Struthio camelus: one gene and its partner. The protein of the gene in region 2 binds, or shares a complex with, the protein of the main gene of each other region. Links are inferred from orthologs where the notes say so. Each region holds a gene or a part of one and is shown on either strand. Other genes may lie near its edges.

Region 1 (15,199 bases), on a different chromosome or scaffold from region 2:
AATTTCTAGCCCTACTAGAATGAAGATCAGATTTTGCAACAGAATTATTCCCAAAAGGCTCATCTACCTCCTGAGAAATAATGTTGTGATTAAATGTGTCCTAAGGAAACATCCACAATCACAGAACAGTGAAAACAGGTTTAAGCTCTGCCTGCTACCCTTTTCAAGATGAAGAGCAGCTTTGATCACCCATATCAGTATAACATGGCAAACATTCCCATCAGCACCCATAGACCAGGCAGCCCCTTGAATAAAGGGAGGGTCTCTTGCTGCCTGCCCCCATCTTTAGGTTTCCTAGAAACCACAGCATGAAAGGAAGATGGTTGCACATCCACACTGCATCTTCATGTGAAGTAAGGATGGAGACATAGTATGCCTCCAAGGAGCAGGACTACAGGGTATGCACTATTGATCCATGCCAAATTAATCCCAGTTCTTATGTAGAATATTTTCATCTTTTATCAACTTGCAATCATTAAAGCATATCATACATTTAAAGCAACAAGTGAGCTAAAAAGCTAGTCTTGCAACTGCTTGTAGTTACATAGTATGTTATAACATGACCAGACTATCTTGCTTCACAAAACCCAAGACCATTACACTTAAGTTGTAAACAAGCTGCCTAACAGTTCTGGAAAAGGTACCGCAGTCTGTTGGTTCCCAAGGCCACTTCAAAGATTCAATAAAGCATAGTAAAGTCATCTATAGATAATCTGACAGATGTCTGTTTTTAAGAAGCAGATTTTAAAAGCTGTTTGTTGAAGGGCTCTTGTGTCATTATTTCCTCATTTCCTTTTGATAGGATCTGTAGGTCAAAACACTTTCCATCCATCCCTACACGCTGTCATCTGTAATAACATTCTGCACATTAATCTATAATCTCATCCACACTTGTGACAACCCATTTAAAGTTAGAAAAAATGGCAGAGGTTGCTCAAAATCTTTGCATCTGTTGAGCACCAATACCATTCCTTAAGGTAGCTAGATGAAAAAGCAACATACTATTAAGAGTAGCATACAGAGCCTAACAATTTAATTACAAACATGGGAAACACTGGCCCAGTGTACTTTCAGCTATAATGCTGAGAACACAAATAGGATGTTTAATATTTTTAATTGTATTATTTTCCAAACTGAGTGAGATACTGAGGAATACCAGTCCAGGCAAACTGTACTAAAATGCATCAGAAGATTAGGGAGAGCCATGGGGCAGGAAGGGGGGGAAGACAGCTTCCAGTAACATTTGTCAAGTCAAAGCTATGGACCAAAGCAGATGTTTCTGGTAATTTTTCAGACACATGCCTGTCCTTTCTCCCTTGACTGCTCTCAGATAACCCTATAAACCCACACAAAACCACCTTAGCATCCATGATATTTGTGACACACCTCCTCCTACACGTACCTCTTAAGAGCATGTAGATGACACTGAAACCATTGCCACGAACACTGAATAATGGTGCATCTTTTCATTCAGCTTTGTGTAGAAAGCTATTTGGATACAGCTCAATGGTAAGAGGTGTTTGTACATTATTAGCACAAAGGCTATCACTGCTAGGGTCCCACATACTACAGCAATCATTGTAGTATTTGTGCACTGCTGTGGAAGTGAGCAGCACCTATTTGAAACAAGCCAATGTTTACATACAGGAAGTGGGGAGAGGGGGTCTAGAGTGAAAGATGCCAATAATAGTCTCTAAAGCCACCAGTCTGGTTTCCTTAAACTGCTTCCTTAAAAACCTACCTTGGTCTTCAACCTTGCAGCAAGTAATCCAAACTACATACCATTAATTATAAAATGCAAGCAGAAATACAACTGCAAATCAAGAATTTCATCCCTCATTTTCCAGTCAAAATTAAGGTAAATTGACAAAGCAATTGCTCTTAAGTGTAAAATAGGTTACTAGAGCTCAGCTGCATTATGGAAGAGCATAAAGGCTTTATCTTAGTGAATACCCAGAAAACACCACATCCCAGTAAATTCAGATTCATGGTAAAGATGAACACATACCTGAATGCAGCTCAAACAGCTGTAATCCAAGTAGATCAGAGTACTGCCTAGCAAATAGAAAAGTAGCTTTTTACCTCACAGCAAAGGCTGACTTAATTTTTTCCCACAAAACTGTAACTGCAGCTGATTGGTAGTAATAACTAGGATTCCTGACTTCCTTTCACTAAGGACTTTACTTCTGAGACTTCTTACCAATTAAAAGAAAAGCACCCAATGGTTTATTGGGTGAAAAGAGATCAGAAGTTCAACTATATGCATTAAGCAGCTTCATCTACTATTAATTTTTAGCCTGGTCTCCAATGTATCAGTTTATACAACCACTGCAAGTAGTCATACTGCTTTTCTTTCTTTCTAGAACTTCTGATATCTACTGGTTTAAACAGTTGCTCAGAAGTATCACATACTTACAAGCTTCATAAAACTCATGGTAAGACAGAATCATCTGCCACCCCAATGAAGCAAAGCCAAGTTAGTTAAACTCAACTTTTATCCAGTGTTGTACAGCAACTTTTAGACCTGCTGCTCTTGTAACTTGATGGACAGGATTACTCTGTGCTAGCCTTGGTTCTGGACACAGTAAAAGCAGTGAGGGCCACATATTGCAGTGACAATTATGCAGCTGCAGACCTCTAGTCTGATCAAGCCATACGAGGATCTAAGATATACCATCCTAGATCATATTTTCTTCAGCAGTTCATAACTTCAAGTAAAAGGCCCAGAGTATTATGTCTGGCACCCACCTCCCACAAAACATACATATTAGTTTTACACCCTAGCATGTTTGATGGACAAAGGATGAAGCAATAGAAGGCACAGCATTAGAAGGGCTGAAGGGCCTGTTGAACTACCATAACCATGCAGTCTAATCAGCAGGCACTGACTCCCAGATGAAGTTCAGAACAATGAACTATAGTTCTGCTTAAACCTGATCCAGGCTCTGCTTTAATAGCTTATAAAATAAGCTCCCTTTCAAAACATTGTTACTACCACATCTTACAGACTGTGTGTTGAGTCTACTGAAAATAGACAAGTCCAGTATTATACAAGTTAAACTAGTCTTTATTAAAGATACAAAACTACATGAAATTTTAACTGAGTAAAAGTTTCAGAACATGCTTTAAAGGTCATTCAGAGGTGGCATATCAATGATCTCATCCAGAGTAGAAAGAAAATCAGCAGTTGATTGTAGCAAGTCTGAAAGAGTTAGAAAGAGTAAGTCAGTTCAAGAAACAGAATTTTACTTTAGAACACAAACTAGATCCTAACAGATTTGCATAAGTCTCTTGAAAGACTCAGATATGGTTGGATTGCATAAACCAGTTTAACTGATTGGTTAGCAATACATTGCAACTAACTGCTCAACAACATGACAGACTACCTGTACTAAGAGAGCTGGCCAGCAGGGAAAAAAATCACCATAGTTACATGCCAACAGTTGTTTGATACCAGACTCCTATTCTGGTAGTATTAGATAGCAATGACAGTTTCATTATTGCAACAGCCCAATAGCTTCCCTCCCAAACCACTAATAAGCACTTGCATACACTGAGCTTCATGCACATCTCCACTTACCATGCTCCCATGACATTTGGGGGAGCTTCACAGGAGAAGGAGCCATGTTTACAAGTCTGTCAGAGGTACTTTCAAATATCATGAGGGGAACACCACTCAGTGTCAGATGGCTTAGTCGGTGCTCTTCAGGTACATCAAAACTCTCAAAGTCTGTTCACAGAAAACACTGTAGTTTACTAGCAGTGTACACCAACACTTACAGTAGCCTTGGAAGCAACAAGTCCTCCTAAGTTTAATTAGGACCAGGTCCAAAGCACCTCAATTTAATAGTCCATTTATGGGGTGCTTATTTGCAGTTACAATCAACTGTCCATAAAAGCCCATATACTAATATTTAATCAAGAGACAAGTAGACTGCAAAACAAAACTGCTAATATGACCCAGGAGCCATTAGTATGGTGACTGAAAAGCAGTTCAAGTCAACTACATCAAGCAACACATGTTTCAACAACACTGAAGTCTCCAGTATAACAGCTTTTATATACTTCCACATAAACTATTTCTAGAAACTAGAGGTTTGAGGGCATATAGGATTAAAAAAGCACTGCAAGTTGTTTGCATAGATTCTAAGAACAGCTTTAGAGATTTTAGATTTCTACTATACAACTACAGGAGTAGGATTCCTACTTCAGCAGGAGTCTCTCCAGTTACATATTGCCATCTGAAGTATACACTTAGGAAAAGTCTACACTTCAGCACTGCTTAAGACCTTCTGAGCGCTTGTCTTCTCGATGCCATTTAATAAGTTAAGAGACCATATCTTAGTATTTGAAACCAGCTTCCTGCCACCACAGTAGTGGCCTCAGAAGACTACGTGTCTTGAGTGCAGCTACTGCAGTTAGAAACATTCAAACAAGAATGAGGGGGTACTCCTAAGTAGTGAGCATCCTTATGTTTAAGGAAGGATGCCAGAAATGCAATGCCAGTTTGGTTGCCACAATAGCTTGGCCAAAGTCTTGAGACAAATCAAGATTCAAACAAGAGCCTGATTGTTCATTCTGATAACTCCATCAATAATTTCTTACCTAGAGGATCATAGGGAAACATATTTTCCATTTCTGGATAGGCTTCTTCAGCTACTGCATCACAGCTTTCTAATCCAGCAGTCTTTTCAGTAATCTTAAGGAAAGAGGCACATTATTCATCTGAGCTACTGTAATTCCTCCTTTTAGGACCTATAGTAGGGGCTTTTCTGTGATGTATAGATCTACAGACCAGAATGCCTGCAACATAGTCCTCAGTTATGCCTAAGTTCTAACACCTTCAGTGCAAATAAGCTGCAGAAGGGCAAATGCTTCAACTGAGTTAGTGTAATGATATACTATACACAGGGGCAACAGATCACCACACTAGAACATTTGGGTTCCCAGTATTAGCTCCTACTACTTAGGATGTCAGCAAAACAGGAAATCAGGCTATATCTTCTCCAGAGTCACTTCTCCGCCCTTGAATATTACTCAAGCTGTACCTACATAGATAAGTTGTGTTATTTTTCCTGCAGAAGTACTGCACTCACCTTCTTTGCAGTGCAAGGCTGATTCTTCTGTTTCAACTGCTCCTTCTTGCTTGTTGCTGCTAGAGTTCGGTTCACGTTTCCAAGCGCCTTTCTGACAGAGAGGGATGTGGCTGGAGATGTACTGATCTTTTTTTTTGGAAGTGGAGTATGGACTTGTGTTCTTTCAGATAAGACTTTTGCTGGGGGGGGGGGAAAAGTAAGTTTTGGCTCTATAACAAGCATAAAGTTTGCTTCACTATGTGCATATGTTGGAAAACTAGGTGTCATAAAAGCACTGTTCTCTGCTTATAACTTAAAAGCATAAGTGTTCTCTACCATGAAAGCACATAGTTATTTTCACTTTTATATTAACTGATATGCTAGATACAGGTATGCAGAATAAAACTGTACTAACATCCAAAACAGCAAACAGCAAATCCTTAATTTTGTGGTCTTTACTCCATCCTCTGATTAGTTTACTCAGTGCAGCATATACTCACAAGATGCTGAAGGCCGTCTTAACTGATTCTTAGTAGCACCAACTTCACCATTCTCTTTATCAATGAAAATTAGTGTTGCCATCTTCAAGCTGATGAGACCACTCTGGGAAGCCCATGAGTAGAAAGAAGTCAGTTTTTATTGTCTCTGCTACAATAGCACACTTTAACAAGCTACATTACAGTTGCCCCAGGCTGCTTCCTAGAGGAGCAGCCAAGACATACTTCTCTCCATTTGGGAATAATTTTCTTTATCAGTGCACACGATAGTCTCAAAATTCCCAGTGCAACTTGCATGAGTTCAGGGAAGCAGCAAGGTGTCACTGGTAATCCAGAGTACCTCCCTGCACAGCTAAGAAAAAGCTCACCAGATCTCACTTCCATTGCTTAGACAGACAGGCTATTCACCACTCAAGGAGGAAAAAAAGCCTCCAGAAAAAGCTGCCTTGAGGTAAAACTTGGAATTTAGAGCTTAAACACAAAGCCAAAGCAAAATTCACAGCCACAGACCTCAACGCCATCTTCTGGCCAGGCTCCAGGAGCCATCACCTGCTCACACCAAGAAGAGGCCTCAGATTTAGCCAAGCAAAACCTGCCTTCCCAGCCCAACAGCACTTACCTAGGGAGAGGCCCCCCTCAAGCGCTGCCAACAGACCTGTGCTACGGAGCAGAACAACAGCACCTACAGCAGAGAGAAAGTTGCGCGTTTCAGGCCATGCAAGGCCTCAGGAGGAGGGGGGGGGGGAAGCCGACCGCGGCGGCGGCGGCGGCCCACCACGACCCCTCTCACCTCTGAAGAGCGGCGCAACAGAGGGGTCCGTCCTGCCGGCGACTTTTAAACCCCCGCCGCACCTCCCATTGGCCCGTTAGACTAACGCTCAGGCTGCCGATTGGCTGCCGCTGGGCGCGCGCGGCGGGCAGGGCGGGCAGGGCGTGGCGCGGGCAGCCGCAGCGGCGGCGGCGGCGCGGCGTTGCTGTGGTGACTGCCTGGCCCCGCCCCAGCAGGCGCGAGTTCCGTTGGGGGCGGGGCCTGAGGCGGGGCGCGGGGCATTGTGGGGCGCGGCGGTGTGGCGGTGTGGCGCAGCGGAGCCGGTAAACAAGGGAGGCGGAGGCTGGCGGGGCGGTCAGGGCCGCTCGGGCTGCTCGAGTCGGGGCTGCCGCACCGAGCTCCCCGTGGCAGGTCGGGGGCGGAGGGGTCACCGTGCTGGGCAGGCTCCTTTCTCTGCGGGCGGCCGCTTTGGGCCTGGGGAGGTTCCCGGGCCCTCGCAGGGCGGTGGGCCCCGGCCCGGCCCCGGCGAGGTGCTGCTCGGTGCGCCTGGATGAACACATTTACTGATCTTTTGTTACAGAGAGAGATATAATGGCGTCTGGGACAGTAATTAACGCGACTCCTTCGGGAGGATCAAGTGATGTTAGCCTGGAGGAACCAAAGAAGATGACAAGGGAAGACTGGAGGAAAAAGAAGGAGTTGGAAGAACAGAGAAAACTGGGAAACGCGCCTGCGGAAGTGGATGAAGAAGGAAAGTAAGTTTTATTAAAGCTACGGTCATTCTAAAGTAATAGGGTTTAAAACTAGGTATTTTGCTTATTGCGATTACAAAATCGTGAGGGACAGCACAAAAGGTGAACGCGGAACTGAATTATTGTACTTCGTGAATTTACTTTTAACGTTCCAGCCTTCTTCAGATGTATAGATTTTTGTTTTTGCAAAAGAATAACGTATGTTCAGCGTTGGTCTGATCTGTTGGGATGCTGCTAAAAAGCCCTGCCCTGTGCAGATCTTTACAAGTGGTATTTTAAAAGAGAGCAAAAGGTAGTGCTGGGGAACTTAACTGTGCAGCTTATCAATTTCTTTCCTTCTCTCTGTGGTTTCTGCAAGGCTCTTCACCGTCTTATTGCACCTGTTATTGTCTGTGATGAGAAGGGATATTACTATTTTTGTTATAAGATAAGTCTTCTGTTATAAAGACAGAACATCAAAAAAAGTCTTTATTTATTATACAAACTTAGAAAGCATTGTAACAACTTGGGTGGTTATTTTACGATCAGCCCTAAAACGCTGAAGTTGAAGGTGAGAGTTATGCATTAGGTTAAGTTGCTATTCTTTTCCCCTGCCATGTATTTATTACGTGATATCTTTTACAGAGATATCAATCCTCACATTCCTCAGTACATATCTTCAGTGCCATGGTACATAGATCCTTCTAAAAGACCCACTCTAAAGCACCAGAGACCTCAGCCAGAGAAGCAGAAACAGTATAGCTCCTCTGGAGATTGGTACAAACGAGGAGTTCAAGAGGTATGCAAAATATTTTGGTTGTAAAGATAAGATTTGATTCTGTGAGAAAGGAAGAATAGAAACGTTGGTTCCTATAATCTTCTGTGTTTTCTGGTTACATGTTTTAAAGACGACAGGAGCCGGGAATTCTTCCTCAGCAGACGTTTCACAGTGTTTAGTGATAACTGAGATGTGTTATGGCTTTGTGGAGAGCATGAATACTTTGCTTGCATTGAAAAAATGAGGTAGTTATTAGGAATGCGTCTATGAATCTTGGTGGAAGCTTGTACAATGCTGTTTTTTGTTGTTTTTGTTTAGCATGCTGTAGCAACGAAATATCGTAAAGGAGCTTGTGAGAACTGTGGTGCATTGACACACAAAAAGAAAGACTGCATGGAGGTAAATTTGACCTTTGATGTTTTAATGTTTTTGAAAACAATGCAAATTCTTCTCTAGTGGAAAATAGCTGGTTATAAATAACAAGAACGTTACTAGTTTCTCAAATATTGAAGCGTTGCTTGAAAATTTCTAAAGTAACCTTTAGGTAGGGGGGAAAAAAAAACCATTCAGGATGTTGCCTATCAACTGTATATGAAAAGAGCTGCAATAATAGGTGAAAAGGTTTATCATTTAATTTTTTGCATTAATTCGTTTTTACTCAAGTGCTGCTGAGGCTAACCTTTTCGGTTGCATGTCAGTTAAGAACACTTTCCAGGAATTGTAATTTAATTCCTTTCTTAACTGTGGAAGATAGGGTTATGTGGGGCTGCAGTAAATTGATAGGTTTTAGACAGTTGCATTACTATAAAAATCTAGAAATGAACTACTTACTTTTACTTACGATTCGTTTCTAGTGCTGGATTAAATCAGCTTTAGAGCAGCTTAATTGATACCATATTTTTAAAGTGAATAATATACTTCAGTCTAATGAACTGATCCAACCATTTCTTTTTCTTTCAGAGACCCAGGAAAGTTGGAGCAAAATACACCGGCATGAACATTGCACCAGATGAACATGTGCAGCCTCAGCTGATGTTTGATTATGATGGAAAACGAGATCGTTGGAATGGTTATAACCCAGAAGAGCACATGAAGATTGTAGAGGAATATTCCAAAGTTGACTTGGTATGTAGGTGCTATAATTTACTGGGGAAAAATTCTGTGTTTGGCTGGGGATAAGGGGAGGCACGTGTGCTCTGTGCGCTCTGATACTAGATCTTGTGCTGTATTCATAATGAAAAACAGAGATGGAGTCTGTGTTTGATAACCAACTTAGACTGAGCTGGGAACTCAGATCAGAACTGGCAACTGAAAATGGGTCTGCACAATAAATGAGTTCTCTCTTCAAATTGTTTGTCTTTTACTAGGCCAGCCCTAGAATTCATTACCCAAAATGAAGATTGAATTACAGAAAGGAATTTATAGGCTGGCTATAATGATCAGAGCTAACATCTATATTCATTTCTTAAACTTCATTCGTGTTTTTGTTACTTGTGAGTCCCTTTTGTTACTATCATAGAGCAGTGGACTAACTGTAAATGTCTCTGTGCAGATCAGCACCTAACTGTTGCAGTAATTTTCTAGCTGTATGTACCAAATCCATGTGGATACTGTTAACTTCATATTAAAAAAGTAGTTCACCACCTTGGCTGGATGGTAGGCCTGTTCCAAAAGGCAGTTAGATACCTAAGTGCCTTTGTGGGCCTGATCTGAGGATTTGAGTTTTTCCCTATAGTGCACAGGAAAGCTAATGCTAGATGAAGGTATTCTGGATGTTAGTGATGTGATTTTTGTATATGTGTATTAATGTGTGATGAGAGAATATTAAGAAGACAGAGCCAGACTCTTCTCAGTGGCGTCCAGGGACAGGACAGGAGTCGCTGAGTTGAAACTGAAGGGCAAGAAATTCCATTTAAACATAAGAAAAAGCTTGCTTTCACTGTAAGAGTGATTGAACTTGAATGAGTTGCCCAGCGAGGTTGTGGAGTCTCCACCCTTGTTGATATTCAAAACCCAGCTGCACACGGTCCTGAGCAAACTGCTGTAGCCGACTCGGCTTTGAGCAGGGTGGTTGGACTAGAGGATCTCCAGAGGTCCTTTCCAGTCTCAGCCATTCTATGGTTCTGTGATGTCAAACATACAAAATTTCACTACGTGGCTGCTTCAGAGTCTCACTTTAGACTTCAGTATTTCCTGGATGAACCATAAATGCTTGCAGTATAAATCATGACCTACCTCAAGCATTGAAGTTCTTAACTAGATTCAGCATAAAAGGACACAATAATAAAATATGTTTGTTCTTAAACTCTATTGAAATGCTTTGAGCTTTTTCTTAATCTAAAAATTGATGGTTAGGGAGTATTTTTAGGAAGTACGTAGGGATAGTATAGCCGCGTAGTCTCTAATAAACTCTTTAACAGAATAATATGAAACAGCAAAATGGTTAGTATATACACATTTCCTTTCCTTGATCTGAAAAAATATAACATGGTAAATGTAAGAGTAGGGTAGGCAAGCTGGGCTGCTGTTTTTTGACAAGCACCCAGAGAATTCGCAGCCCACGTTTTGTAATAATTAATACTTGTTAAAACGATAGTGGTCGTAAGAGGTGCTTGTGATGAGTCTTATTACACACTTGGGATTGAAAGAAAGTATTAAAACAAGTGCATTTTAATGATATGCAGGCCAAACGTACGCTGAAAGCCCAGAAGCTTCAGGAGGAGTTAGCATCAGGAAAGCTGGAGCAAGTGGTAAGGAAACTAAACCCTAATTCATTTTTGTTTAGGCTGAATAAAGATAAAAAGGTCGCTTTTGCTCTCTGATGCTCTTACTCTGCAGACTGAGTTTCCTATTGCTTTCCGTGCCCTTCAGTAACATGACCTGCCTGAAGCATTGAAGTAATGCTTCAGTGCTTCGTAATGCATCCATACTCTGTGTTGTTTACGTGAATGCAAAATACCTTTTTTCAAATGAAAGTGCCTTTGTTTTTCCCCTCATAGGCAAGACTTTCCTGCTTCAGTTCTGGCAATTAGTATTTCTTGCTAAAATGAATGATATGGAATTGTGGGTCAGAAAAAAATAATTTCCCATGTAGTAATTTTGTTCACGCACTAAAATGAGAGTTTTAATGTAAAGATTGTTATGTCTGACTAATGTGGTTATGACCATTATGTGACTATGGGTTGCTTGATTAATGCTTCATATAAATAGGAATAGGAAGGCATTTTCTTTTCCTTAGAACCAAACTTGTATCTTCCTCAGTTATTGATTCACTCTTTGCAGTGTCTTTGGTTATTTGAAGGCTGAGGATATGCAAGCTTCTTGCTTGCAACTCCACAGAGTTTGCATCTTCCACTAACTTCTGCAAGCTCCTCTTGGATTATCTAGTCAAGGCTTCTGATAATCTTTAATATAAAATTCTAATTTAAGAGGTATTTGTGATAATTTTCTAGGTTTATAAAACGAGGGGGAGTAGAGATCATTACTGGTGAGAAGTATTTTGAGGGGTTTTCTTAATCAAAATATTATACTGTAAGAAAAAACACACTAACCAATAGAGTACGTACAATTGGGCCTCCATTTTCCATATGTTGTCACCTTGCATTTTGTCACTAGATGGCAGAGTAAACTTAATCTCCAACCAACACAAAATACATAGTAAGCCTGAACTTCTTTCCAGGTGGATAAGGTTCTTATTCTTTTTGCCACCATAGAGCAAGATTTTTAGCCTCCGTATATTTATTCCTTACAAAATAGAACTGGTAGAAGAAAAGTATATTTGAAACATAAAGAACCATTTCTGATAAACAGAGAAGCAAGACTGGTGCCTCTTCTCATAACTGAAGTCCTTGAAGACCAGCACTCTTGTTTCAGTCTTTACTTCCCCAAGGATTCTCACGTTAGAGGCTAAACAGATTCAAAAAAAAAAGGAAAAGTTTGGCTATATTTCTCCAGATGAGGTTATGGCTCCTGATTTATGCTCTGTATTCCCATCATTCTTAATTAAATATCACGTATATATTTGTTAACGTATAGTTTGGGGGGTTTGAGGGTTTCAGAGTTGAGTCATATTTTTTTGACGTGCTATGAGTTATGCTTTTGAACATTAATGTTTTAGACTAGAATAACAGACTTTATATAGTAGTGATAGTTCTGGAATTTACCACTCTTGCAAGGGCTTGGAAATTCAGTTGGGAATACAGTAAAAAGGTCTCCAACATGTTTCTGCAGTAGATCCGCTTACAAGCTCTCTGTCTTAAAACGTTTAGATGGGAGTGGTCTTTGTGTGTTTTGTGACCCAGTTACTGTATTTTTGCTTCCAGTAAGTCTAGGCCATAGGAATAAGCTCTGCTTTGGTTGTTCTTTATCTCCCTGCCTTCTTCCTTCTCTCCATTATCTTGTGTTCTCTGCTGATGTGCTTTTTGTTTGCTGCAGAACTCCCCGAGACACCAATGGGGAGAAGAGGAACCAAATTCACAGACAGTAAGATGATTATCCACTGCATCACACCATGGGGGAAGAAAAAAATCTGTAGTTAGTGAAGCAGTGAAACAGGGGTGGCAGGAGAGTTTCAATACTGGCTTCATGCTGCCCTTTTTTTTGGGCAGAGGGTGCTGGATTTCATAGCTAATAACTCCTGTGTGTTGTCAAACCTTAGAGGTGCAAGAGAATAACTAGTTTTTAACATGTTGTATATTTTGATCAATATAACTGTTGTCTTAACATCATCATAGTTGTGTTTTTGTAACTCTTTCCACAGTGCAAATAACAGTAACAAGGGTATTTCTGAACTGTGGAATATAACTGCATGATAGATTAGCATACTTAAGCCCAAATAAATGATACTAACTTTTAACTACAGGGTCTGCAGAATTTTTAATCAAACCACTAAAATCAGATTCTTGTTTCTAGAGTGAATGCTCATTTTTATGTAGAAGTTTCCTATCTCTGAATGTTCGTTTTAGTTAGAAGTTTCCTCTCTCTCTCCTCAGGAAAGAGATCATAACAGTGAAGATGAAGATGAAGATAAATATGCAGATGACATTGATATGCCTGGACAGAACTTTGACTCTAAAAGACGTATCACAGTTCGAAATTTACGTATTCGTGAAGATATTGCAAAAGTGAGTATAGAGTTCTATTACTGATCTTTTATATACATATTTCAAAAATTGCACTATTATTAATGAATTTGGTGTTTAGAGATTAAGGTGTATTCTCAGTTCTACTGCTACGCGTGTTATGATTTCTCAAAGGTCATCCCCTTGCACAGATTTTTCCATTTTAAAGTGTCTAAGTTGGGGGTTACAGTACTAATTTTGGTTCTATTAAAATCATAAATTTTTAATCAAATATCTTGTATGTTGTTTTCTTCCCCTAGTACCTCAGGAATCTAGATCCAAACTCTGCTTATTATGATCCCAAAACAAGAGCAATGAGGGAGAACCCATATGCCAATACAGGCAAGAATCCAGACGAGTAAGTTAAAACAGAGAAACGGTCAAGTATCCAACAAAACTCTATTTAAAAAATGAGATTACTTTAGTAATTTTGTATTTCCTTGCATAGCTGTGTATCTTTATTAATGAATCCCTAGTCCATTATGGATAGAAAAGTCTTTCAGTAATACTGTATGGTAAACATGAAAAAATTGTTGTTACCAGCATTTTCTGTTTTGTTTTAGTGTTTAAAGTAGTATTTTAATGATCCTCAGGGACACGAGGACCACCACTTGGTGTGCTGATGTGTGTATGGAACAAGGATAAGAACAGTCTACTGTATCTAGAGATGATACCTATAAGCAAAAATGATGTTTATGAAAAGTATTTCAGTAACTGAATCTAAAACTTCATCCCTTACTTGTTGAGAGGCATTCAGCAGTGGATACCTAGCGTGGAGTATCTGTGGTGTCTAACTAAATGCCTGAATCCGGAGCAAACATTCCCCGTCTATTAATGGGGTCTGCGTACTAAAGATCTGAAAGTTTTGGCTTTGTTTAGATGGACGACTTGATTAAAAAAGAATGCCTTAAGCTGGCTTTTGGCTACACACAAGACTGTCTTGCTTAAAAACCCAAGTCAAGCACTTGAGCTGTGACCCAGCCTTGACCCATGTAGTGCAGCAGACATACAGAGTAGACAAGCTGTGACTAGAAACATTTATTCAGAGTACAGTAACTGGATTAGCTTGCTGTCTAAAATAGAATGGCAGTGGTTAAATACTGGCAAATAAGGCTCTTTCCACCTCTCCTTGCCCCCAGCTAGAATAATGCCAGTCAGTCCATTTTATTTCGGATGCAGGAGCTTTCACTTCTCTCTAGAGTCATAATTTGACCTTTGTCGAATCCATGTTTTTGCAACAGCATTGCAGATCGTGAATTTTTCAGAGTGGTTTTTGTGGAGATGAAAAGAGGGGGAAACTGGACTGTTAACAGTATTTGATTTTCAACCTGTGGTTCATATACTCTTTGTGAGTCATTTCAAAGGGATGTGCAAAAGGTAACTGAAGAAAGCAAAGCTATTATCAGGCTTTAACTCGCTACAGTACCTGGTGGGAGGGAGAAGGGATCTACAAATCCAAAACCTGAAAATCACTGTGCTAGAATATCACTTGCCATTCATATGTATTTATTGTGCAATTAGGTTGAAGCTTGGCTTCATGGTGCTTGGTATCCCATGCCCAGACAGAGCTCCCATTCTGCATTTTAAAACATATCCATATAAACATAGGCATCAAGCGTTCTGGGTTGGTATCTAATGCTTTTATGACTTTGAGAGCTTAGACTTTTAGTTCAAATACTGAGTTGAATGCTGCTTCCTCTCCCTTCATCTTAACTATCAGGGCACAAAGGAGAGTTTTTACTTTCCTGTTGGTGTTCTGTGAGTGTGTTTTAAAAGGCATAAGTATGGAAATGATGCATTACGTGCATGCTAAATATCATATTGTTTTTTTTCTGCAGAGTTGGTTATGCAGGTGACAACTTTGTCCGTTACACTGGAGATACTATTTCAATGGCACAGACTCAGTGTAAGTTTGTTTTTTTTTTCCAAGGGAATGAAACATGTTTAAGTTAACAATACTGCTTTTTTTTGAAAAGGAGAAAAAAATCCTTGTAATTTTAGATTCAGGTTTTTAAAAATTATCACAAAACTAGAGGTGATAATTTGAATACACACGTCAGTTAGAGTAAATATTGAGTGACACCTCTTGTGTACGCAGTGTTTGCTTGGGAGGCTTATGACAAAGGCTCTGAAGTTCATCTTCAAGCAGACCCTACAAAATTAGAGCTACTTTATAAGTCCTTCAAAGTGAAAAAAGAAGATTTCAAGGCGCAGCAGAAAGAAAGCATT
Region 2 (14,478 bases):
TCAGCTCCGGCGACGTGGTGAGAGCAGTGGGCTTTTCCGGCCCGCTCACCGTGGCCACAAACTCAAGCGCGGGGCCCTTCAGAAAGCCCTCCTCTTCCCTGGGCAGCTCCGAGCTGGGATCTCGCTGCTTCCTGCCCTGAGGCTTGCCCTTCCGGGGCAGGATCTTTATTTGCCCTTTCTGCTTCTCGTTAGCTTCAAACTCTGCAGGCAGAGGGGAGAGAGACAGGTTAGTCCGACATCCTCTCCGCACCGCTCTCCTGAACTGCGCCACCAGCTCCCGTCACGTTGCCTCTCCCAGCAGGGCTGCCCTCTTGCACAGAGCTGACATGGAGAAGGGATGGGGGAAGCCAGGCTGGGATATTCCAGCGCTCCCAGTCTTTCAGCCCAACAATTCTGCTCCCCCAGAGGAGCCCGGATGGGCTTTTATCAAGGGGGGGAAGTCACCCAGCAGGCTGAAACATGGTTCACCAAGTTTTGTGCCCAGCCTGCCTCCACATCTTGGGCAAGCAACTGGCTGCTCCATTAGTGTCTGCACAGCATACACTCCGAAAAGCAGGCACAAGCAGTGTCCCCAGCACTGCCCGGGCTCAGGGCTCATGTTTCCTCCATCCCCTTCCTTCAAGCCAGGAGGGGGAACTCACCAGTGCCAGACTCCAGGAGGAACAGGGCCTGCTGGAGGTCGGAGCGGCTCAGCTCCAGCTCACTCCGCTGCAGCTCCAGCTGGGCCTTCAGCACAAGGAAGGCGGCACACCTAGGAGGACACAGCGCTCAGAGCCCCCCTGACAGCCACATCCCCAGTGCCTCGCTGGAGGGAGGGAAGCGGACAGCAAGAACAAGCCTGTTTCTGACCTGGTAAGCTAAACCCACGGGACAGCGCATCCCAGGACAGTCTAGAGCAGCTGCTTACTCCCAAAGCCAAGCAGCAGCCAACCCTCCCTCCAATGCTAGCTCAGCCCTGCCCACAGGTCCCCCAGACTCAGGCAAAAGCTCTTCCCACCACAGCCACTCACCACCGAATCGCTTGCAGTTTCATGGCCAGCTTGACAGCCTCCAAGCAGAAGGCTTTGGCTTCGCATACCATCTCCACTCTGCTGAGGAGAGCTACGAGGCGCTCCGAGCAGGCCAGCAGGTCAGCCAGCACTTGCCACTTCTGCAGCAGGTTTTCCCCTGCAAAGGAAGACAGGCAGGTGACCAGAGCTGCCCTTTGGAGTTCTTCCAGAGGAGCAGCTGCTTTTCAGTCCACACAAGCAAATAAAACTCACCACAATCCACAAACTGAACGTCTGACGCAGTCTTGTGAGAGCCCAGCACATTGCTGCCCATCAGCAGAAGGATGATGCTACGGAAAAACTTGTGGGCTTCGGTGAGAGCAGTCTCAGGCGTCCTCCACCCTGCACGACAGCCGTCATGAACATCAGCACTCTGCCCAGCATGAGATCAAATCATCCCTCCTCAGCCCAAACACAGCACACAGCGGGAAGGTCTCCAGTGGGACTTTGAAGAGCCATGCAGACTCCAGCTCCAGCCAATTTGGAGAAACCCAGAAGTCAGTGTTTGCACAGAGCTTTGTCAACAACCCCTGCAGCTCTCATCGCTGTGGGGCTCACCGAGAGGAGGGTCTGACACATCCATTAGGCCCCCTGGCAACCCACCTTGAGCAAAGATCTGCTGCCTGAGCTCCTGCGAGAGGTGGGCAGCAGGAAGGCTCAGGTAGACTGCTGTTAACTGAAGGACGTGGGCTCGGAGCAGGTACCAGACCTTTGCAATCTTCTGCAGAGCTGGGTTCTGGAGCACTTCCAGCAGCAGGGCAAGGCCTTCTTCAACCTGGAAGCGGAAGCAGAGATCAAGAGAAGGAGAAAAACTGTCACCATTCAGGGTCCAGAATATTTCCGTGTCCACCAAGGTGGGCTAAGGTGGCTAGCAAGAGGATATTGAAGACTGCCAGAGCTGTTGAGCTCTCCTCTTGCTCTCTGACCCCACATTGCAAGCAGAAAAGGGTTTTCAGCCCAGGCCCAAGCATCCAGATCTCCCCAGCGGAGGGGCCCTTGCAGGGCATACCTGGTGGCTGGTGCAGCAAAGCTGGCTGCGGAGCAGAAGGCAGGTTTGCTTCAGCAACAGGTAGGAATCGCCACTGCTGTCGGCCTTCTGCAAGCAGGACTCCGTCTCCTCCAGGAAGAGCTGGAAGGAGACAAGACAGCATGAGGGCTGCGGCCTCAGGGGAACAGCCAAACTCGCCCAGCAGCCTTGCCCTCCCTGCTGCCCCGCACTTGCCTTGGCATAGCTGGGACACTCCAGCTGGAAGAGCAGCTTGGTAACCTGGCACAAGGCACCAGCCATGCCCAGGCTGTCTCCAACCGCGCTGCACAGGGATCTGACCAGCAGGTAGCTCTCCAGAGCCTGCAGGGGCTGGGGGCAGGAAAACCCACACAGTTATGCTTGGAGACAACGCCAGAGGGATGTTTTGCCCCTGCAGAGGCTGCTTTCCCTCCAGCTGTCTCTGTCGCACAGTTCAGCCAAGCCCCCAGCAGCATTACCCTGGCCATCAGTCTGTAGAGAGCTGCCATGAGGTGCAGGGAGGCCACGGTCTGCTCCAGGCTGCGCACGCCGGGAACTCCCTTCTTCGCCAGGAGCTGCTTCCACAAGGCGAAGGCATCGTCCAGGCTCTGGGACTGAGCTAAGCACACGTCGTGGGCCTGAGCAGCTTCTCCAGGCAGACCACACCACTGCTAACACCACCACCACCCCCCCCTCCCAGCCTGGCTGCACAGCAAAAACAGCTGGGAGAAAAGGCATCTCCAGCAATGCCTCCAGCTTGCAAGAATGCATTTCCCTGCTGTCCCATGGGGCAGAGCTGCAGAGGAACATCTCCCAGTGTGCGCTCCCTCCCCACATCAACCCCATCGCCATTCCTTCCTCGGGCAGAGGAACCTCACTGGCTGAGGGGGCCTTTGCCACAAGAGGCTCAGTCACCACATGCTCACCAGACTCTGCAGCCAGGTTGAAGGCGATGCCGTCGTACAGGAACTTGTCCTCCTGCAGCTTGTCTTCATAGTTGAGGTCATTGGGCTCAAAGTCATCCAGGTGCTTCTGCCCCTGAGCTTTGGCTCTCTGCTCCCTCTCTATGCTCTGTGGCAGGTTAGGAGGCAGCAGCAACACATGTTAGGAGACGCAGGCAGGGCTTCCAGCCCCTTGGGCCCTGCTAGGGCTGCAGAAAGGCTTTTGGTGGCCTCAAAGGGAGAGGGCTGAGCAGGGAAGAGCTGAAGGGGGCCATTTTCCATAGGCAGTGCCTTCAGCTGGGAGGCACTAGGTTTGCCCGCACTAGTTGAGCGTAACTGGGAACCCAGGAAGCCTGAAAGGTTTCAGGAGGGTGGGGAGCTGCTTTTCCTCTTAACTGCTGAGTTTGGAGGAGATCTGCACATTAGGCATGTGCACAAAGTGGTTCTGGTGCCCTAGGATCACTGCAGCTTTTCCAGACCTGGGTCACCCATCAAGCAGGTGCTGCAACCCAGTTCAGCAACCTGCAGCTCCCCTTTGCTGCCCTCGCCTACCTCCTCTAGTTTGGACTCCAGGGTGCAGATGTACTGCCAGAGCAAGGCCTGTGCTCGGTCATCGAGGAGCTCATCCTGGTTCTGGGCGGTCCTGGGCACAGACTCCAGGAGCCGCAAGGCCTCTCGGATCGAGTCCAGGGAGGAGCTGCCAGAAAGAGGGATTAGAAACACAGCCTTCTGCACCCAAAACTCCTGGAGTATTTTAGGAGGAGAACTAGATATACTTAAGACATACCTAGAACAGGTTTGTCTTAAGCAATAGCACCCCTAAACCTTGTAAATCCCTTAAGTACCCTCAAAGGCTCTTTCAGGGCTCCCAGAGACACAGGACAGAGCCGTGTTTGGATATAGCTCTCCCGGTACGCCTGTATCCACCCACCAGTCCGTGTGCGCCGCGTAGTCATGATAACACAAGACCTGGGCCAGCTCCACCAAGCCGATGGCCCGCTCGTGCACACAGCCGCTCTCCTCCGAGCAGATCTCCAGCAGGTCGCAGATGACATTGTAGCGCTCCTGCCCCGTGTTGGCCCGCACGGTCTTGTAGGCCTTCAGCTCTTCGAAGAGCACGGCCACCAAGGTCCCAGCATCCAGGCAGCGCCCCTCCAAGCCATCCTTCAGGGTCCTGGGGAAACGGGTGCTATCTGGGTGGGGGGTTCTGCGCAGACACCACCCCACACGCGCAGAGCACCCAGATCTTGCCTTACCGTAGCCGTATCTCCTCAGCCCCCTGCTTCGTGGCGTCCGTCTTGACTCTGGCCCAGAGGGAGATGGGCTCTGTCATCTGCTCCCTGATCTTACCCCGCAGGGCAGCCAACCACTGGACGATGGACACCAGGGCTCTCTCGAACCGACCCAGCTTCCGGTAGCTCTCCACCTGCAGCCTGAAGCATCTGTGCAGCTGTGGGGAGAGCATGAACAGTGCAGTAGGACTGGCTTCAGCACCCTGCAGAACTCCTTCTCTGCCTCCCTTGGAGAGCAGAATCGCATGCTGCAGCCCCTCATGTGGCTACTCACCCTTTCTGGGGGTATCTCTGGGTATTTATAGGCTTCTGCCATCTCCAGCCTCTTGCAAAAGAGCTCAGAGAGGGAGCTGGCCTCCTCATGAAGATTCTGGCTGTAGAAGATGTAGGCCAGCTTAAACGTGCACGATGCTGTCATGGATTAAAAAACAAATATTAAAGGCACTCTGGAGAGAGGAGTTACCCTCTTCCCTTGTCCAGCAAGGACTAACGCCCTTCACACTAACCCTACAAGCTACGCTCTTTCCAGCTGAGAACCCAATGCTCTCCAAGCCCCGAGCTGCCTGGGGTGAGGCAGATACTGAGCTGTGCCCCTTCACCAGGGGCTTCAGACAGGGGGAAGGGTCCCAGTTGCTGTCCTAGGAGGCGGCACCACATTTGACCCACACCTGTGCAAAAGAGCCAGCTTCGGGCTCCCCTACTGCCACGGGGACACTGACCGGTGACATCGAGGTACTCTGCTCGCTCACTCGCGGGGAGCCCCTCCAGGGCCGCCAGCATCCACGCCACGGTGCATCGGCAAACCCCCAGCAGCCGCTCCAGGCCGGACCACCCGACCGCCTGCACAACAGCCACAGTTAGCGGGAGAGAAGTGCAGCGGCAGCCAACGAGACCCCTCCAAGGGGCTTCAGGGCTCAGCCACGTTGCCGAAAGCACTGGAGAACCCAGCCTGCTGCCCAGCATCGCGCTCGCAGCTTGGCCAGGGTCTCGCCCAGCCCTGCGCTGGGGACTGTCCCCTCCGCTGCTGGTACCTGGGAGCACTGGAAGGCATCGTACGCCACGCTGGTGAAGAGCTGGAGGCTGTGGTAGAGCAGCTGTTTCACTGTTAGCTGCTGTTTTATGCTGTCGGGAGGAATCTGCAGAGGGGAGGAAAGAAAATAAACAGTGTTTTCGTGGTCCTGACAGCACCAGGCTCCAATGGTGCGTGCTAAAAAGGACAGAGATGCCAGGCAGGGCTGCTCTGCTGATGGATTAATGGGAGCAACAGACTGTCAGGCAAGCCTAGAGCATGGTTGCATCCCTCCCGCTGCTCGCAGGACCTCTAACGAACAAGACAGGCCACAGTGGGTGGCCGCCCCCACTCCTGTCTGAAGCCTTACCCGCTCCAGCAGCCTGTGGAGGACGCAGCAATACCCCTCCGTGAAGGCACAGAGGCCAAGAACATCCTCCCGACCGAAGGGCCTCCGCTCGCTCCTCTTCGCGTACCCGCTGAGGGACGAGACGATGAACTGGCAGCTCTCGGCCAGCACCCGGACGAACCGCTCCGAGACCTTCGCCGCAGAGCCGAGAGCGGTGGCCGCCTGCGAGAACAGCGGCCCTGCCTGGCCCACGCTCTCGGCGAGCACCCGGCTCAGCCGGACCCCGGCCTCCAGCAGAGCCAGGGGGTCATTAAAAGTCTTCGCCGAGCTACCAGCTGCACCCAGAAAGCTGCGGGCTTCTTTCACAGCCTCCATGGCCTCCCTGTAGCAGCCGCTCTTGCAAAGACGCCGGCATCGCTCCAAGGTGAGCTCGAAGAAGCACAGGGACCGCTGCGGGGTCGGCCGCTCCGCCGCGCCGCCACCCTCCCGCAGGGCTGCGAGCAAGCAGCCGGCCAGCTGCCTGCTGAGGAAGACCGCGTCGTCCGCGCCGAGGGGCGCCCGCTGGCCTTCGAACATGACGGCAGCCGCAGCCGCCTGGCGAGCCGTCTGGGAGGTGAAGAAGGGAGGCTCCTGCGGCAGCAGGGGAGCCCCGTCGTCCTCCAGCAGCGCCAGGAAGCGCAGGGCTCGCAAACGAGCCGAAAGCACGGCCCTGCTCTCCTCCGGCGCCCGGCTGGCTTTGGCCAGGGCGTCCGCGCCGTTCCACAGCACGCTGAAACCGCTCCTGGCGACGGCCCCGAAGTCCTCGGAGGGAGCCTGGCGGGGCCGGTAGGTCAGCAGCCGGGCGCGGAGGAGATCGGCCACCCTCCAGCAGGCATCGTCGGCCCCCTGGGCGACCACGTTCCTCAGCAGGTGGTAGATGATCTTCTCCAGGTAAAGGGGAGCGGGCTGGGGCGTAGCGGCGACGTAACCCCGGCACGCGGCCTCAGCCAGCGCCACGAGGCTGGCGGCGTGCGCGGGGCAGGCCCCCGGCTGTCCCAGCTGGTGCACGCAAGCCCGCAGGACTCTGTCGCACACGATGCTCTGCCGAGAGGGCTGGTTCGCCCCGGCCGAATCTTCTGGGGCGCTGGCAAGGCATTCCTGGAGATAAGAGACCGTTAGCGCCCCGATACGTGGCGAACCCAGCCAAGGGTCTTTCTGGGTAGGGTCTTCCTCGCTGCGGGGAGCAGAGGGCACCCCAGAGCTGGGGGTGGGGGTGGTCAAGACCCCCCCCCCAATGCTGCAAAGGGTCTACCCCGAACCTCACCGTCAGCTCTGAGAGCAGCGTCTCCGTCTCCTGTCGGCTGCACGTCCGTGCCACAAAATCAGCTCCTTTCAGGCGCATCATCTTGCTCCCAGCCTGCCACACGGTGGGGGGGGGGGGGGACAAGTCAGGGTGGGGACAGGCTGTGCTCCCCCCAGGGGACAGGGGTCCCTTGGGGCTGCCCAGCACCACCCAGGCAAAGAGGCAGCAGAGAGCCCGCCCCGGGGCCTGCAGCCCCCCAGGTGCTTGCAGCTCCCCCAGCCCCACTCCTCAAAGCCCTCCCCAGGCTTGCAGCCCCCCAACCTCGCTCCCAGCCCCCCCACAAACCGCAACACCCCCTACAAGCCCCCAGGGGCCTGCACTGCCCCAGCCCCACAAGCGCTCACAGGCTCCCCTAGGGCCTGCAACCCCTCCCCAGCCCCACTCCCAGCCCCTCGAGTGCTCCCAGCCCCCTGCCACGGCCTGCAGACCCCCACTGCTCGCAGCAGCCCCCCCCCGGGGCCTGCGACCCCCCCCGCACTCACGCGTCGCCACCCGCAGCCGCCCGGGCCCGGCCGCGCGCCCCGTTCAAATCTCCGCCGCAGCCAATCGGCGCGCGGCACCGCCCCCCCCGCGCGCTGCACGCCGGGAGTTGTAGTCCCCGCCCGGGGGTGGCGCATGCGCGCAGGGTGGCGGCCAGCGAGGCACCGGCGTGCACGGACCCCTGTGCAACCCCTGTGCACACGTGTGGGTGTGCAACAGGGAGCTGGTGTGCACGGACCCCTGGGCAACACGGGGCCGGTGCGCACGCGTGCAGGTGTGCAACAGGGAGCTGGTGTGCACGGACCCCTGGGCAACATGGAGCCGTGTGCACACATATGGGTGTGTGACAGGGTGTCTGGGTGCACAGACCCCTTTGCACCAGGGAGCTGTTGTGCACACAGATGAGTGCACAGAGACCACTGCGCAGTGAGGAGCCAGTGTGCACACCGAGCAGTGTGCAAAAGCTGCTGGTGTGCACAGACTCTTGTGCAACAGGCCTGCATACGGGAGTGGAAAGGGTGTCAGGGTGCGCAGAGCCTTGTAGAACAGTGAGCCCATGTGCACACTGACGAGCGTGCAACAGTGAGCTGCTGTGCAGGGACCCCTGTGCAAGGGGGAAGCTGGAACGCACACAGATCAGTGTGCAACGGGTGTCAGCGTGCATAGGCCTCTGTGCCACGAGGAGTCAGTGTGCAGGGTCAGTGCGCAACGAGGTGCCAGTGCATAGCAATCCTTGTACAACGGAGTGCAAGAGTACAGGGATCAGCATGCAACACAGTGCTGGTGTGCAGGAAAGCGTGCAGCTGGTGCCCCTGTGTGTGTGCGCAGAGATCCTCATGCAACAGGCTGTCCCTGTGCACACGAATCCGTGCGCAGCAGGGCTGCCAGCGTACGCAGGGATCCGTGTGCACCAGGGCACGTGCGCGTGCGTGGATCAGCGTGTAGTGAGGCACTGATATGCACACAGGTCCCCGTGCAGCAGGACTGTCAGCGCACACGGATCAGTGCAACAGAACCACGAGCACATGCACAGATCCCTGTGCAAAGGGACTGCCACTGTCTGGCACGAATTCTGGTGCAACAGGGGCACTGACGCACGCACGGATCAGCGTGCACTCCTGCTTGAAGTGACGAGGTTTGGTGTCCACCAGGCCAACCTCTCTGCACACCGAGCAGCGTGCAACGGGCTGCTTTGGGGAGGAAATAAGGAGAGCGACACGCCAAGGAAGGCACAGAGGGAAACCCAGCAGCACCTCCTGAGCTTTGCAAAGCACCAGAAGCACGCAGGTCTCGAACCAACCATTGTCGGTTTTTATTTTCTTTAAAATAAAAAAAAAAAAAAAAGAGAGGGCTGCTGAGCTCGGTGTGCGGAGCAGCCAGGGGTAACACATCCAGCGCCCGGACAGCGTCTCGTCCCTGTGCTCGCCTCCAGCTATCCCAAGGAGTCCAGCGCTGAGCAGTGTGCGCTTCCAATACTTCACCTTCCGTAACAGCCTTCCCTGCCACCTCAGACATTTGGCAGTTGCACAAGAGAAGATGTGAGGGAGGAGATGGAGGCAGTTCGGGTTGGGATGCTTCGGGAATCACCAGTCAACCGGAGGCTCACCTGCGCCGTTGTCATCTGTGACGGTGCTTCTATCGCAAGCATTGACCGGTCACAGCTGCTTCCCCCCGCGGGGGCTCCACGGACCCCCCTCCACCAGCAGGGCAGGAGTCTCGGGGTCTGACACGCTACAAGCAATACTCGCTCCCCCAAGCTCACAGGCCATCTCGCAAAGGCGCCAACTTTGCGGTCCAACAGCTCATCAGAGCTCAGGGGAAGACGGGTCCGTCTGTCCCTGCGGAGCGGGCACCCAGAGCTCCGCGTTGTTGCGGACGATGGTGAAGAGGCTGACGACGGCGAGCAGTGCCATCACCATCATCACGGAGCAGATGGTGAACATGTTCCTGGTGCCCGTCTTGTAGTCACTGTCGTGGAGGATGAGCATGCCGAGACAGGCCAGCAGGTTCAGGGGGACGCGGAACCAGTTCATCACTCCCACCTGGTCCTTCTCCGGGATCACCTTCCGCCGGAGGAAGCCCATGGCAGGGAAGTAGAGCCCGCAGGAGAGCTCGATGAGCAGGAAAGCCAGGAAGGATTCAGAAGGGCTCTCCTGGCCAGGGTTGGTGGAGAAAGTGAGCATGAAGAGGGAGAAGAAAACCATGAGGACAGAGAGCGAGAGGATGTGGATGGGCTGGAGGTGGTACCTTTTGGAGATGGCAATCCGATAGAGAGAAGAGCCCACCATGCTAGCTGCCATGAAGCTGGAGAAAACAATGCCCAAAGGTGAGCCGTGAGGATCCAGCACAGGTGTCCAGAGGAAGATGAAGATGTAGATGACGCTCTCAAACAAAGCCTGGATGGTGCCCAGGAGCAGGACGCGCCGGTCTGAGAGGAGGCACTTCAAGCCATCCATGCAGGTCTTGGAGAGTGCCCTCTTCTTCCCATAGTTCTCATCCCAGTTTTTCATGGCAAAGATGCCCGTCAGCATGAGGAGGGGGATGGAGACCATGAAAGGGGCCACCGGGCCCAGGCCCAGCCACTCCGCAAAGAAGTTGGCTGCCACCCCGGCCCCAATGGCAATGACATTGTTCCAGAAAGCAGCTCGCGAGAAGGTGGCGGGGATCCACTCCGCCGGGAAGTCGTAGCGCTCCACATGCTCATGAACGTACCATGCCTCGAAGGCGGAGAACAGGAGCGCTGTGGACAAGCCGCCTAATATCCTCCCGACCACCAGGACAAAGTAATCCCAGGAGAGTTTGGTGAGGCAGCAGACCGAGTAGGTCAAAGAAAAGAGGATGCAGGATTTCTTCCGGCCCAGCCAATCCACCAGGGACGTAGAGACCAGCCCAAAGAGGACACTGGAGGCAAAGCCACACACGTAGATGATGGCAATCTGCCCCTCCAGGAAGCGGTAGTGCTGGTAGAGTTTGTAGAGGTAGGGGCCCTGCAGCCAGTCGGCGGCCAGAGCCAGGAAATACACCTGGTAGTAGTCCCGCTGGAACTGGAGGAAAGCCGGGTTGGTGCACGCGCTACCGGTGAGCTTGGAGCGGCAGGCGGAGAACTCCAAGCCCAAGCATACGGCCAAGAGGACGGCGAAGGCGGCATAGGCGGTGAAGAGCATGGTGCCTCAGAGCGTCACGGGCATCTCTGGGAGAGAGGGCTACCGCGAAGCTCCTGAGAGAGGAGAAGAAAATGCCGTGACATCCGGATGGGAGGTGCACTGTTCTGCAGGAGTGGCCCCGAAGCAACCGCTCTGCTGCTCTGCCCACGCAAGCCGGGACACCTGGGCACCCCAAGGCCGTCCTTCCTCAGCAGCTGATTTTGAACTGTCAGCCCTCAAAGCTCTTGGACCCTGGGTCAGATGCCCATGAGGACACAAGCCGCAGGCAGAGCTGACTCCGGCTGGGAGATGGGAAGGGCTGCGGCAGACGGGAAGGGCTGCATTTACTGCAGAGCCACAGGGTGGAGCGAAGCAGTTACGAAACTCGGTCTGAGAAGCAGGAAAAACTCCACAGGACACTGGTCTGCCAGGTCACAGACTGGTCTCCATAAAGGCAACACCAGAAGTGCCATCACTCAGAAATGGAGAGTGCAAAGCCCATCCTGCGGCTCCTCCGCGATCGCTCGTAGGAGCCTCCTTGTCCCTCTACCTCTGCTCCCCAGTGACAAGCCGATCCGCAGAGGCGGAGGAAAGGACAGCTCCACCTCCAGCCAAGCCTCAACCCTCCACCCCATTGTACACTAATTTCTGCCTCTCTGCCAGGAGGTGAAGCTACAGTCCCCATCCGCAGCGTTCCCCACAGTGACCTGCCATCCCAGCCTGTCCCTTGGGGCTCGGCTGTGGCTCATCCCATGGCGCCAGCCCCATCCTGCTCCCATCTGCGCCGTGAGCACAAGCCCTAGAAGAAGCGGTCCGCAGTGAGAACAAGGCCGTTGGCAGCACAGTTGGTTTCAGACTCTTTGATGACTCTCCTGTGCCTACCCAGAAAGCCAAGGGGTTCAGGGCAAATTGCAAACAGAAAAGCTGTTTAATAGCAGGAAAAATAAAGTCACATCCTGTTTTATTTGCATTCTATGGGGATGGGATAGTCCTCAGGGTAAGAAAAAGCACGTGATATGCCGGGAGGACTGACGAGATCCAGGATCTGTCTGTCAAGGGTTTGGCTTCACTCCTAAACCAAGTGTTTGAACAGAAGTGCTAAAACAGCCTAAGAAAAAAATCCAAAAAACTAAAACCTCTGGTTTCCCAGTTGTATTATGTCCAGAGCCTGCCTGTCCCCAGGCACTACAGAGGCTGTCCCCTGCTCCTGTCCCTAATCCTCATTTCCAGCCTGCCCCTCACATCTTCCTCGCTGCTGCCTTGCAGCCGAATCTTTCCAGGTGACTTAAAAAAAAAAAAAATAAAATAAGGCGAACAGGTCTGTGTAGTCGCAGGGCAGGGCTGGGCAGGCAGCCAGGGCCACCACCGTCTCACCCTGTCACCTGTCCCCAGCTCACCTGGGTGGTCTCTGCTCCAGGGGAAGCCCCGCAGCATCCGGACAGTCCTATGGGTTGCAACCAGCTCCCGGAGATGCCAGGCCCCCGCCGTGAGCCGCTGTCCTGCCAGAGCGGACGTCCCCCTGATCCCGGGGCGTGAGAAAACAGGGTGAGGGTCTGTCCCTGCTGCCGGGAGACGGGTGAAGACCGTGAGTGGCCGCAAGTTTTGAGCATGGGCGGCCCCAGGCAAAGCCACCGAGCCCACGGCAGCTCCAGCCCCTGCAGCCCCTGGGGCAGCTCGTGCCCAAAAGGCACCTCTGGGTTTTTTGTCCCCCCCCCCCAAACTTGGCCCCATGTCACTCTTCTGCCCCTGGCAGCCCCCTCCCCACACCCTACCTAAGGCCCCCCAAGTCATCCCCCCCCCACTGCCCTATACATCCCCACAGCCCCCCGGATCTATACGTCCCCACTGCACAGACCCCACAGCCCCTGTTCTGTATGTCTCCACTGACCCCACGGCTCCCTCCCAGGCAGCCCCTCCCACAGAGGCCCCCAGCCCCCCTCTCAGTGACCCCCCAGCCCCACAGCCCCCCCTCTCAGTGACCTCTCAGCCCCATCTAACCCTACAGTCCATAGTCCCCTTGAGCCCCTCCCAGGGACCCACAGCCTCCAGCCCCACACAGCTCCATAGGGCCTCTCTCGGTGACCCCACCAGCTGGCCCCACACAGCCCCTTGGGCCCCTGCAGTGTCCCCACTGACTCGGCCCCATACAGCCCCTCATTGACCCCCTCTGGCCCTACACGGCCCCTCACTGACCCCCTCTGGCCCTACACGGCCCCTCACGGAGCCCCCCCCGGCCCCACACGGCACCTCATTGAGCCCCCCAGCCCCACACGGCCCCTCACTGACCCCCTCGGCCCCACATTGACTCCCCCAGCCCCACACGGCCCCTCACTGACCCCCTCGGCCCCACACTCACCCCCCAGCCCCACACGGCCCCTCACTGACCCCCCCGGCCCCACACTCACCCCCCAGCCCCACACGGCCCCTCACTGACCCCCCCTCGGCCCCACACTCACCCCCCAGCCCCACACGGCCCCTCACTGACCCCCCCCGGCCCCACACTCACCCCCCGGCCCCACACGGCCCCTCACTGACCCCCCGGCCCCACACTCACCCCCCGACCCCACCTGCCCCTCAGCGGGGGGAGAGGCCGCGCGCTCCCGGCGCCCGCGCGCACCCGCTTCCGCTTCCGCGTCGCCGCGGCCGGAGCCGCCGCGGCCGCCGCCATCTTGGCAGGCGTCACGTGACGCGGGCCCTGCGCTCGCCCCGCCCGCCCGGCCTGACCTCTCCCCTATGCCCCCCCCCCCCAAAATAACGGAGCCTTCCCCCCAAAATAACAGGCCACCCACCCACCCCCTGGTGGGGGGAGACGGGGATGAGACACCAGCCATCGCCATGGTGCTGCGCCCCCCCCACCGTTGCCATGGCGACCGTGGGGGCTGCAGGGGGCCAGGCCGAAGCCTGTCATGGCGGCCGGGGGGCCGGGGGGCCGCCGGGGGGGCCGCAGGGCAGTCACGGTGCAGCCATGGGGCAGCTGCGGGGCTGATGGGCGCTGTGGCAGGGCTGTGGGGTGGCTGTGGGGGCTGTGGGGCAGCCGCAAGGGTCGTGGGGGCCGCAGGGTGGCCGTGGGGCGGCTGGGGGGGGCTGGGGGGGCCACCAGGCAGCCATGGGGGGCACAGGGCAGCCGTGAGGCAGCCATGGGGGCCGCAGGGTGGCCGTGCGGCAGCTGCGAGGGCCGTGGGGGGGCTGTGGAGGCCGTGGGGCAGCCATGGGGCAGCTGCAAGGGCTCTAGGGCAGCTGTGGGGGTTGCAGGGTGGCCGTAGGGCAGCTGCGAGGGCCGTGGGGGGGCTGTGGAGGCCGTGGGGCAGCCATGGGGCAGCTGCAAGGGCTCTAGGGCAGCTGTGGGGGTTGCAGGGTGGCCGTAGGGCAGCTGCGAGGGCCGTGGGGGGGCTGTGGAGGCCGTGGGGCAGCCATGGGGCAGCTGCAAGGGCTCTAGGGCAGCTGTGGGGGTTGCAGGGTGGCCGTAGGGCAGCTGCGAGGGCCGTGGGGGGGCTGTGGAGGCCGTGGGGCAGCCATGGGGCAGCTGCAAGGGCTCTAGGGCAGCTGTGGGGGTTGCAGGGTGGCTGTAGGGCAGCTGCGAGGGCCGTGGGGTGGCCATGGGGCAGCTGCGAGGGCCGTGGGCAGCCGTGGGGCAGCTGTGAGGGCTGTGGGGCATCTGCCAGGGCTATGGGCAGCCCTGGGGGGTATGGGGCAGCTGTGAGAGGCCGGGGGGCAGTGGCCGGGGGGTGGTGGCCGGGGGCCCTCTCGCGCAGCCGCAGCCCAGCGCTCCGCCACTTTCCGTTTACTATTTCCTTTATTGCACTTCAAGATTAGACAAAAAATAAACCTTTTGCAGCGGTGCCCCAGCCCCAAAGTGCAAAGTTTCGC

Evidence for each region.
Region 1: the proteins of ESPL1 (region 2) and PTTG1 are in contact, whole or in part, in a cryo-EM structure (PDB 7NJ1), measured with the Homo sapiens proteins. The link is inferred for Struthio camelus from reciprocal best matches to the Homo sapiens genes ESPL1 and PTTG1. Residues at the interface, in NP_036423.4 of Homo sapiens: His402, Thr405, Val406, Tyr409, Ser461, Asn462, Tyr465, Tyr468, Arg505, Arg508, Glu512, Glu544, Thr547, Phe548, Arg551, Gln590, Lys593, Ala594, Val595, Arg596, Thr599, Gly600, Arg603, Gln634, Cys637, Tyr638, Trp683, Ile686, Glu690, Ile697; in NP_001269311.1 of Homo sapiens: Tyr111, Pro112, Glu113, Ile114, Glu115, Lys116, Phe117, Phe118, Pro119, Phe120, Asn121, Pro122, Leu123, Phe125, Glu126, Ser127, Phe128, Asp129, Leu130, Pro131, Glu132, Glu133, His134, Gln135, Ile136, Ala137, His138, Leu139, Pro140, Leu141.

The regions. Positions count from the first base shown.
Region 1 is NC_090954.1:14,383,396-14,398,594, reverse strand, and holds PTTG1 (securin), read right to left. Parts: upstream 6,582-15,199; 5' UTR 6,363-6,581; intron 6,255-6,362; 5' UTR 6,192-6,254; intron 5,679-6,191; 5' UTR 5,658-5,678; coding exon 5,576-5,657; intron 5,276-5,575; coding exon 5,097-5,275; intron 4,700-5,096; coding exon 4,606-4,699; intron 3,731-4,605; coding exon 3,581-3,730; intron 3,203-3,580; coding exon 3,126-3,202; 3' UTR 3,045-3,125; downstream 1-3,044. Other genes in the region: pre-mRNA-splicing factor SLU7, read left to right, coding at 6,933-7,096, 7,718-7,871, 8,169-8,249, 8,811-8,975, 10,535-10,600, 12,285-12,332, 12,842-12,973, 13,231-13,328 and 2 more. UniProt on the Homo sapiens protein: Regulatory protein, which plays a central role in chromosome stability, in the p53/TP53 pathway, and DNA repair. Probably acts by blocking the action of key proteins.
Region 2 is NC_090969.1:1,558,072-1,572,549, forward strand, and holds the start of ESPL1 (separin), read right to left. Parts: upstream 7,559-14,478; 5' UTR 7,471-7,558; intron 7,043-7,470; 5' UTR 7,031-7,042; coding exon 6,950-7,030; intron 6,784-6,949; coding exon 5,668-6,783; intron 5,425-5,667; coding exon 5,320-5,424; intron 5,129-5,319; coding exon 5,008-5,128; intron 4,700-5,007; coding exon 4,563-4,699; intron 4,447-4,562; coding exon 4,253-4,446; intron 4,171-4,252; coding exon 3,928-4,170; intron 3,694-3,927; coding exon 3,549-3,693; intron 3,127-3,548; coding exon 2,982-3,126; intron 2,675-2,981; coding exon 2,535-2,674; intron 2,407-2,534; coding exon 2,272-2,406; intron 2,179-2,271; coding exon 2,059-2,178; intron 1,825-2,058; coding exon 1,653-1,824; intron 1,392-1,652; coding exon 1,263-1,391; intron 1,168-1,262; coding exon 1,011-1,167; intron 752-1,010; coding exon 642-751; intron 202-641; coding exon 1-201. Other genes in the region: MFSD5 (molybdate-anion transporter), read right to left, coding at 9,274-10,632. UniProt on the Homo sapiens protein: Caspase-like protease, which plays a central role in the chromosome segregation by cleaving the SCC1/RAD21 subunit of the cohesin complex at the onset of anaphase. During most of the cell cycle, it is inactivated by different mechanisms.